2 linked regions of the Arabidopsis thaliana genome follow. The protein of the gene in region 1 interacts with the protein of each later gene in a pairwise test. Each region holds a gene or a part of one and is shown in the gene's direction. Other genes may lie near its edges.

What was found. The genes of interacting proteins can lie anywhere in the genome.
Region 2: the proteins of WRKY54 (region 1) and AT2G33350 interact in a two-hybrid assay, tested with the Arabidopsis thaliana proteins (one large-scale study listed by BioGRID).

Annotation. Positions count from the first base shown.
Region 1 is NC_003071.7:16,999,897-17,004,527, reverse strand, and holds WRKY54 (WRKY DNA-binding protein 54), read left to right. Parts: upstream 1-1,999; 5' UTR 2,000-2,173; coding exon 2,174-2,586; intron 2,587-3,074; coding exon 3,075-3,176; intron 3,177-3,366; coding exon 3,367-3,892; 3' UTR 3,893-4,109; downstream 4,110-4,631. UniProt on the Arabidopsis thaliana protein: Transcription factor. Interacts specifically with the W box (5'-(T)TGAC[CT]-3'), a frequently occurring elicitor-responsive cis-acting element.
Region 2 is NC_003071.7:14,133,197-14,137,665, forward strand, and holds AT2G33350 (CCT motif family protein), read left to right. Parts: upstream 1-1,945; 5' UTR 1,946-2,006; coding exon 2,007-2,081; intron 2,082-2,168; coding exon 2,169-2,915; intron 2,916-3,051; coding exon of another isoform or gene 3,052-3,054; coding exon 3,055-3,252; coding exon of another isoform or gene 3,253-3,294; exon of another isoform or gene 3,295-3,328; coding exon 3,329-3,457; intron 3,458-3,532; coding exon 3,533-3,640; 3' UTR 3,641-3,965; downstream 3,966-4,469.

The DNA of each region.
Region 1 (4,631 bases):
CAAAATGATGTATTTATAATAAACATTGTTATTATTCTAATAACCATTTGTCATTTGTCAATAGCAGTTCCCCAATCATCGTTGACCTTTCTCTCATCATCTCCGAAAGAAAGCAATAATTTAACATTTGAATATAACTAGTGTCCATATTTTGACAATCTCTAAATGATTAATCAGTTGGGATTTATAGATAAATGCCGAATTTGGATGAGTAAACGAAGAAGTAAAACAAAGCTGTTTGGACATATTTATTGGTTCAAACCGAGAAATAACACATTCATCTTTTTACGATCGAAGTCAACTACTACAACAACAAAAATATCGTTAATTAGTTCGTACACAAATTATATTTCATAAATATTTCATCGTTCTACCATTATACTACTCACCGTTCATTATTATTGTTGGTATAATCTGTTTCGTTAAGTTGTATGATAAATTAAAACTAGTAAAGCCGTTTTGTTTTTGTTTATAGTTGAAAAAGTAAGCGTAATATAATCTGTAATTTCTAGAGAATTAATAAGCAAACAAATGGATTTGACTCTTATGGATTTTTTTTATTTATTTGCGAGTGGATGTACAATGTGGACTGAAATTATTGTGACTCCGAGGAGTACTCAGTGGCACCTGCCCCCTCATTGCCGTCACAATATCCCAATACTAAACAAATGTTACTTTTTTAAAAAATATTGTTTTTTTTGGTAGGAAAAAAGATGTATTGTTTTATGCGTCACAGAAATAAAAATAATAATTAACCAACTCAAAATTACTCATTTTAATGAAACGAAGATATTTTTCATTCAACGGATCAAAAATTCAAAATGAGTCATTTCTTACGATCATAGGTTTTAATTTATTTTTGGTATTAAATGAGATGACTCACACAAATATTTCAATAGTTACACGAGTATTAATTAAAGTAGTGACAGTTTCAACAAATTTTAATATTTTTGTTCAGTTCAAAATTCATAGATTTTTAATAAAATCAGTACTGCCAAAGTGATCAGGGCCAAGCAAGCAATAGGCTGACATAACCTAGAGTTGTGACTTGTGATTGTATTGGTTCTTTTACCAAATGATCCAAAACATTGATTATCTACTTAAGTACTTTTCCGGCGTTTTTAATGGCAGTTCTACAAAACATAAAGATAAAATTAAATAACGTTGGCTTAGTATAATGAGATTAATCTTGATTACTAGTTTTAGATCCGAACTAAGCGGTCTCACCACGATTATCTATATATATATATATATATATATATATATATATATGCTTATAGCTTTTAGTTTTAGTAGCTAGTCTATCCATGACAAAATTCATCAATGAGAATATTCATTAGGATCCTTCTGCTTCCGTAAATGCACGAGAATACACACGTATAAATAGTTTCTTCTTAGGAAAAATACTACTATATAGCAAAACATATACATTTATATCTTCAAAATAAAATTACGAGATTGATAAAACTCTAAATATTATTCTGTCTTAAGACTATTTGACCCAATTACTCTTAAAATATATTAGTGGTTGGTCTGATATAGAATATATCTTGTCAACATTTATCCTCTTTAATTATCAAAAAAAAAAAACAGTTCTCCTTATTTTGGTTCTTTCCCTTGAAAGTGAATTTCGTGGTACTGAAAAATAATTTGAATGTCATAAAATATTAGTTATATAACTCTTTCTCCAAGATAAAAACAAAATAATTTTTCGCAAAAAACATTTAAAAATCTAACCAAGTTGTTGGATCGTTTTCATGAGCATTAATTAATTAAATAAATCCGCGAAGAAAGGAGAAAAAAAATACCCACCAAGCCATCAAACGTGTTACGGAGATGGGTGATGTCATTCCACATCATCAATGTGACATAAGCAAAGCTCTTGCAAGCCAATGGGTGAATAGATAAGTTATAACTTTCCAATTATAACCTCAAATCCATGACTAAATTCATAACTACGTTGGTTACTTTCCCTTTATACCCTTTCATGTTCATTATAATGCATAAGCATCTCTCTCTCTTTCCTAAGCATCTTCCTTTGATTTTTTTCTGATCAAGAGAAAAAATCTATTTTCTTCTCTTTCCACTATATTACAACATTTCTTCATTCTCAAATCATCATACTAAAAACCTAAAAAAAGTTACATATTCATTGTATCTTTGTGAGAAAAAAATGGATTCGAATAGTAACAACACGAAATCCATAAAGAGAAAAGTTGTCGACCAACTTGTCGAAGGCTATGAATTCGCTACTCAGCTTCAGCTTCTCCTTTCTCATCAACACTCTAACCAGTACCACATCGATGAGACCCGTCTTGTTTCCGGGTCGGGTTCAGTTTCCGGTGGTCCAGATCCCGTTGATGAGCTCATGTCTAAGATCTTGGGATCTTTCCATAAAACTATATCGGTTCTTGATTCTTTTGATCCCGTCGCCGTCTCTGTCCCCATCGCCGTCGAGGGTTCATGGAATGCTTCATGTGGGGATGATTCGGCGACTCCGGTGAGTTGCAACGGTGGAGATTCCGGTGAGAGTAAGAAGAAGAGATTAGGGGTTGGTAAGGGTAAAAGAGGATGCTACACTAGAAAGTAAGTGACAAAAAAAGTTGAATTCAAATATCAATTTATTATGTTATATTTTTATTCGTGTTTAATGATATAATCTCCTTTTTATGTGGATTTTATTCGAACTTTTTTCATTACAATTTGCTATTTTTGTCTATGGATACCATCATATAGTGGTAGTGCCCCATATAGAAATGACTAATCGTAAAGGTTAAAAGGATATGAATTTGTTCATAATGTCTAGTGCTTAATATATACTAAAAATACAATCACTGTTTGTGTGAATGGTAGTGATAGGAATCGTATGAATACGATTGATTGGATAGGGCCAATCAATGCTGACTATACCATACATAACTTTACCGAATTTTGTTTTACTTTCTATTAGTGTATAATTGCGATTAGTTTGGTACAAACAAGACTGAATGTACCGTGGATTTGTTTGAAATGAACATAAAAAGGCAAAAATGGTTTAGTCATTTATTAACAAATTTGTGATTTATCATTTGCAGGACGAGATCACATACAAGGATCGTGGAAGCTAAAAGTTCTGAAGACAGATATGCTTGGAGGAAATATGGACAAAAGGAGATTCTTAATACCACATTCCCAAGGTCCTTAATTACCTAACTCCTTATATGTCTATTTATGTATCTATATACTCACAATACATATATAATACATATAAACATGGGCAACTCATTTTTATACCAGGGATCTCTAGCCGAAACATATGTTATATTTCAAGTCACTATGTGAAGTTTGCAATGGCCTAAAATCAATATGCGTTTTAATGTTTTGCAGAAGTTACTTTAGATGCACACACAAGCCAACGCAAGGATGCAAAGCAACAAAGCAAGTTCAGAAACAGGATCAAGATTCTGAGATGTTCCAAATCACATACATTGGCTACCACACATGCACTGCCAATGACCAAACGCACGCGAAGACCGAGCCTTTTGATCAAGAAATCATTATGGATTCGGAAAAGACATTGGCTGCTAGCACTGCTCAGAACCATGTCAATGCTATGGTGCAAGAGCAAGAGAACAACACCAGCAGTGTGACAGCAATAGACGCAGGCATGGTTAAGGAGGAACAAAATAACAATGGTGATCAGAGTAAAGATTATTATGAGGGCTCTTCGACAGGTGAGGACTTGTCATTGGTTTGGCAAGAGACGATGATGTTTGATGATCATCAAAATCACTACTATTGTGGTGAAACCAGTACTACTTCTCATCAATTTGGTTTCATCGACAACGATGATCAGTTTTCCTCCTTCTTCGACTCATATTGTGCTGATTATGAAAGAACAAGTGCTATGTGAACATCCAAATCTGGAATGATGAATCAGCACTAGGTCTTCTCTTTGAGTATGTCTAGTTTAATGTAATATTTTTGTTGTATGTTTGATAAAAACACCATATATACTTCTCTTTTTACACCATTCACATGTTTTTTTCTTCCACAAGTTTATTTTGGATACATCATGACACTAAAGATGGCAAAACTTTAATGGATTACCAATTAAACTTAGAATAAACCAACCTCCATAACTGCGCAAGTTCATTTGTCTTTATGGTTATTATTAGTGCTTTTAATTTTGGATTCTATAATTATGATAGATGAATATGATTACCTAAAGAGTGTAAAGAGACTTATCCATTCAAATTGCGGCTATGAATGTTTGCTGCTAAAAAGGAAAAAGTTGGGACAAATGCATTTTGGAACTGTCGTGCTTGTCTTTTTGTTGTTGTTGGCATGTTACCTTTACATAAGCATCACCGTGTACACTAGGGCATTGATTAATGCTTGTTACAACAATAAAACAAAATAAATTAAGCTATAATGTTCGGTTCGGTACAAGTACTTTTTCTTATACAAACTAAATTTAATTCACCCCTGTAATTTGAAAAATCAAATATAACTCCATGAAATCATTTTTAATAGATGTCTAAATATTGATGACTTTTATATATGTTACAGTGTACTGCTATGAAAATAATTGAGAGAATAAAGTGTTTTCTCTGTCGACATAACAAACACAAAAGATGAACAAAAAGGCA
Region 2 (4,469 bases), 2.9 Mb from region 1:
GTTAAACATTGTTTTCGAATTTTATCTGATATCCCTAAATATTTTCTTAAGGCAAATAATATGCTTATTGTCCAAAGACATTTTGTCCAGTAGCATTTTACTTTAGATATCTTCTATTTTCTAATACTTTACTGACCTGGTCGAAATCTTTTTCTCTCCTTTGCGGGAAATCATGAGCCAAGTCAATAAAATTAGCAAACGAGATAAAAGATAGAAAAATGCATATCTAAATTAAAAACATAGAAACTAATTCCACGAATATAGGGCTTAATTTAGGACGATTTTCAGTCAAAAACGTCAAAATCCACGGAACAAGAATTGGGTCAAACTCATTGACCGGTCTAAATAGTTTCCTCCTACGTGAGATCCTTTACCCACGTCAACACCATTATATCTACGTGGGCTTTCCACGTCATGTGAAGAGGAGAATCGAGGGTATCACATTTTTGCATCAAGTCCACGCTGGAATATATTATAAAAATTATGTGAAAATAATTTGTACATACACTGAAACACACATGCATTAGTTTAGTATATACAAATATATACATACACATAAAACCAAAAGTATATATATATATGTATGATTGTTACGTGAAACTCCCATAACCTCTTTTTTTCCAGAAAACTATAAGAATTTGAATTTCTTCTCTGTCCAAACAGAAGAACCTTTGTTCTGTTTTTAATTCAATTACCTCTTTGTTTTTTCAGTTTTTGTTGTTTTTTCCTCCCAATATTTGAATTTCTTCCATGGATTTTCTTGTTCATCATACATCACTCATTCCAATATTATTCCACAAATCATCCTTGAAGCCTCGTTCATTAATTTTCTTGCTATAATTCATATTTTCTCGGGAATTTTCTTTATTTTCCCAGAAAGTTTTCGCATTAACATTGGAGATATACAAAGAACACAAACATGTTGCAAGACATGATCTCGTCTCACTCTCACGATCAGCTTTCCATCGTAATTCTCTTCTCATTATTGCTTTCATTTTTATTCATGCAATGCGTAGATGTTTTTGTCTTTGAAATTTTGCTTACATGTATAGATCATATAAACTCGAGTCTAATCTTATAAACTGATTAATTTTTATTCCGTAGTCTTTTATTCGGCAACTACCCTATAATTTCAGCTAGTTTTTCTTTTTTGGTGTAACGTCATTTTCTTCTACTTATATTCCATTTGATCTTCTTATAAATTGCTTCATTCTTTTCGCTTTTCTTTCTTTGTTATTCTCTCCGCACTTCAATTTGTCCTTCCATGCGATTTTTTTTTGAACAATCATTATCATAATTCTCATTGGCATACGATTATTACTTATAAACCAATAGAAAATCGTCACATGATATGGAACAATATTGTTCTACAAAATAACTGTAACCATAATTCACTATATCTATCGTATTTTAGTATAGATTTTTATTCTCATCAAACGAAAAATGCTAGATTTAATCTCTCACCTTGGATTTTATGCAAAATCTACATATTACGTGAATTTCACTAGGAGCATTGTTTGTTATCATGATGGGTTTGTATATGATCATGATCATAATGGGTTTCACACATGTTCTGATATTTTATGAAGTGCCCTTTACTTTTTCTTTGTGGGAAAAAAATCTGGATGTTGGTTCATACCAGGCAATTTTAAATTATTTTGTCAATACGAAAAGGAAATACCAGAATCAGAAAACTTTCCGTTTATAGAAACTCCACTCTTCTTTACTTTATCTTTTTAGCTATTGGAAGTAATTGGAACACTTCTTCTTAACATGTCACATAAAAGAACAGATGCATTTAATCTCTCTTGTGTTGTCCTCAACAAATATTGATAACAAACAAACATTGGATTTGATCAAGACACCAAAATCTTTGGAGTGTTTGGATGTCGAAAAACAGAATCAAAACATCTTACAGATTCTTAACATAGTTAAGCCAGAACAAAATTACTTAAGTATAAATAAATTTCTCTTAAGATTTAAGAACTAATATCTTGTAGCTTCTTATGATTTCACCAGTTCTAATTTCTTGTGACTCAAGCCAAAACCTTTGTTACCTTTTTTTGATGCTTGGCTTTAACGTAATCTCTTCAAAAGATCTTGGTTCATTTACTTTCCATGCTCGATCTAATCTTTGAAACTAACTATTGTTTTTATTATCTTAACAGGATGATATCACGAGCCCTCTTAGTGCTCAGATCTTCGATTTCTGCGATCCACAACTCTTTCAAGAAACCTTTAATCAATCCTCTGAAGTCACCTCTACTTCAAACATTCTTGAGAAATCCGGAAGCTTCCATTCCAACACTAACACCACCACAACAACTGAGAACAGTAACAACAACAACAACAACAAGAACACAAACCTTCAAGACGATGAAGATGACAACAACAACACGGATCTGTCCATAATCTTTGATTCACAAGAAGATTTCGAAAACGATATAACGGCTTCAATCGATTTCTCATCATCTTCACTGCAATATCCAGTCATCGATCATCTCCTCACGGCAATAAGCCAAGACCAGTTTGATTTCTCATCAGGTCTCCAAGTTATTCATCAGCCTCCTAACATTTCATACTCTGGAGATCCTCTGTCTCTATCGGCGATTTCCTCTCTAGCTCCTCCTCCCTTACAATCAGGGGTTTTCGAAGAAGATTGTCTTTCTTCAGTCCCAAGTTACAATCTTGGTTTGAACCCTTCTTGCTCTTTCTTCCGTTCGTCCGGTTTACCGGCGTATATGAGTACCGGTTTATTATCTGCTGAAAGTAATCTCGGTTATCTTCCCGGGAATATTCATGTGGGATCAGAAATCAATAAGCCACATGATCCACTGATGGACTTTCAAGCTGATAATGGTGGTTTTTTTTGTCCGGATTCCATCAAACGTATGTTTAATCCAGAAGATCTCCAGGTAATTGAGTTTTTGTTACAAATATTTTCCGGTTAACGTTTGGTTATCTTTAAGAACCGGTATGGAGCTAAGATTTCCGGTCACAAGACCGGGTTGGTATTCTGATGTGATGCTAACCGGTTTAATTTTGTTGAAGAAGGCACTTGGTGGTGGCGCCGAGAACCAGAGCCACTTGGTGACACCTCAAGCTCATCCAGCATTAGGACCGGTCGATATAAACGGTTTAGAAGACTCAACGTTGAACAAAGTTGGAAAACTCTCCCCTGAGCAAAGGAAAGAGAAGATTCGTAGGTACATGAAGAAGAGGAACGAAAGGAATTTCAACAAGAAAATCAAGGTTCGGTTTTTATTAAACCAAACCGGACTTAACCGTTGTTAAATGTTGTCCCAATGATTTTTTTGGGGGGTTGTAGTATGCGTGTAGGAAAACATTGGCAGATAGTCGACCAAGAGTTAGAGGAAGATTTGCAAAGAATGATGAATTTGGTGAGCCAAATAGACAAGCTTTTTCAAGCCATCATGATGATGAAGATGAAGACGATGTAAGAAAACCGGGTTATTTTAACTCGATTTATATGAATTTATGTGAAAACTAACTAAGCCGATTGGGTTTACAGATGGGAGTGAAGGATGAGGAACAATTGGTAGATTCTTCAGACATTTTTGCACACATTAGTGGAGCAAATTCCTTCAAGTGCAACTACCCAATCCAATCTTGGATTTGAGTTCCAAGTGCAACACCACATATACCTCATGTTTTAACATGAATCTTATAATAGTTACACAAATAGTATTGCTATAGAGTTATGACTTGTATACTTAGTTTTGTCATGCCCCCAACAAGTTCTGTGACTTCTGTCAAAAAAATAAATAATCTAACTCGTATTGAAAATAAATAATGAATAATGGGTTTAGGCAGGTTTGGATGAATAAATCAGTAGTGAGAATAAGGTTGTAATTATGTTACCTAGCAATTTGGAAATTTTGTAGATACTATGATATGTGATGTCTTGTATTTGATAAGTTGAGTTGAATTTTTTATCACCTGAACACTCTATATATATAATCGTCATATGAGTTATTATTTTGCTTCTCAAATCATTCAGATGTTCTATGCATACAAAATGAATAGACCGGTCAAATTGTCATGTCTAACACCTGGTTAGAAGATCTAATTAGTAATTAGATAATAACTATTTGATCCAAAAAAAAGGATAGTAGTAACTATTTTTAAGAAAAAGATGAAATAATTGGGCTTTAATTTGTTAGTATCAAAATGTTGGACTGGGCCAACAGAGTGTTACAGATCAATTATATAATTAAGGCCTCCCTTGTAGGCTACCATTTAAGATTAATGTAAAGCTTAAACGATTGACAACTTGATGCATGCGCAATAAATGATGATCGTACCATAATTTCATGGCCATATATAGTTGCTAAACTGAAAGAAGAACAAAAAGGTTTGTAGTAACTTTGTAATGAAATAATTCGATATTTTATTATGTTGAATAGTTCTTTTTGTTCGTTTCTGAAAAGTGAAAACCCATTTGCTAA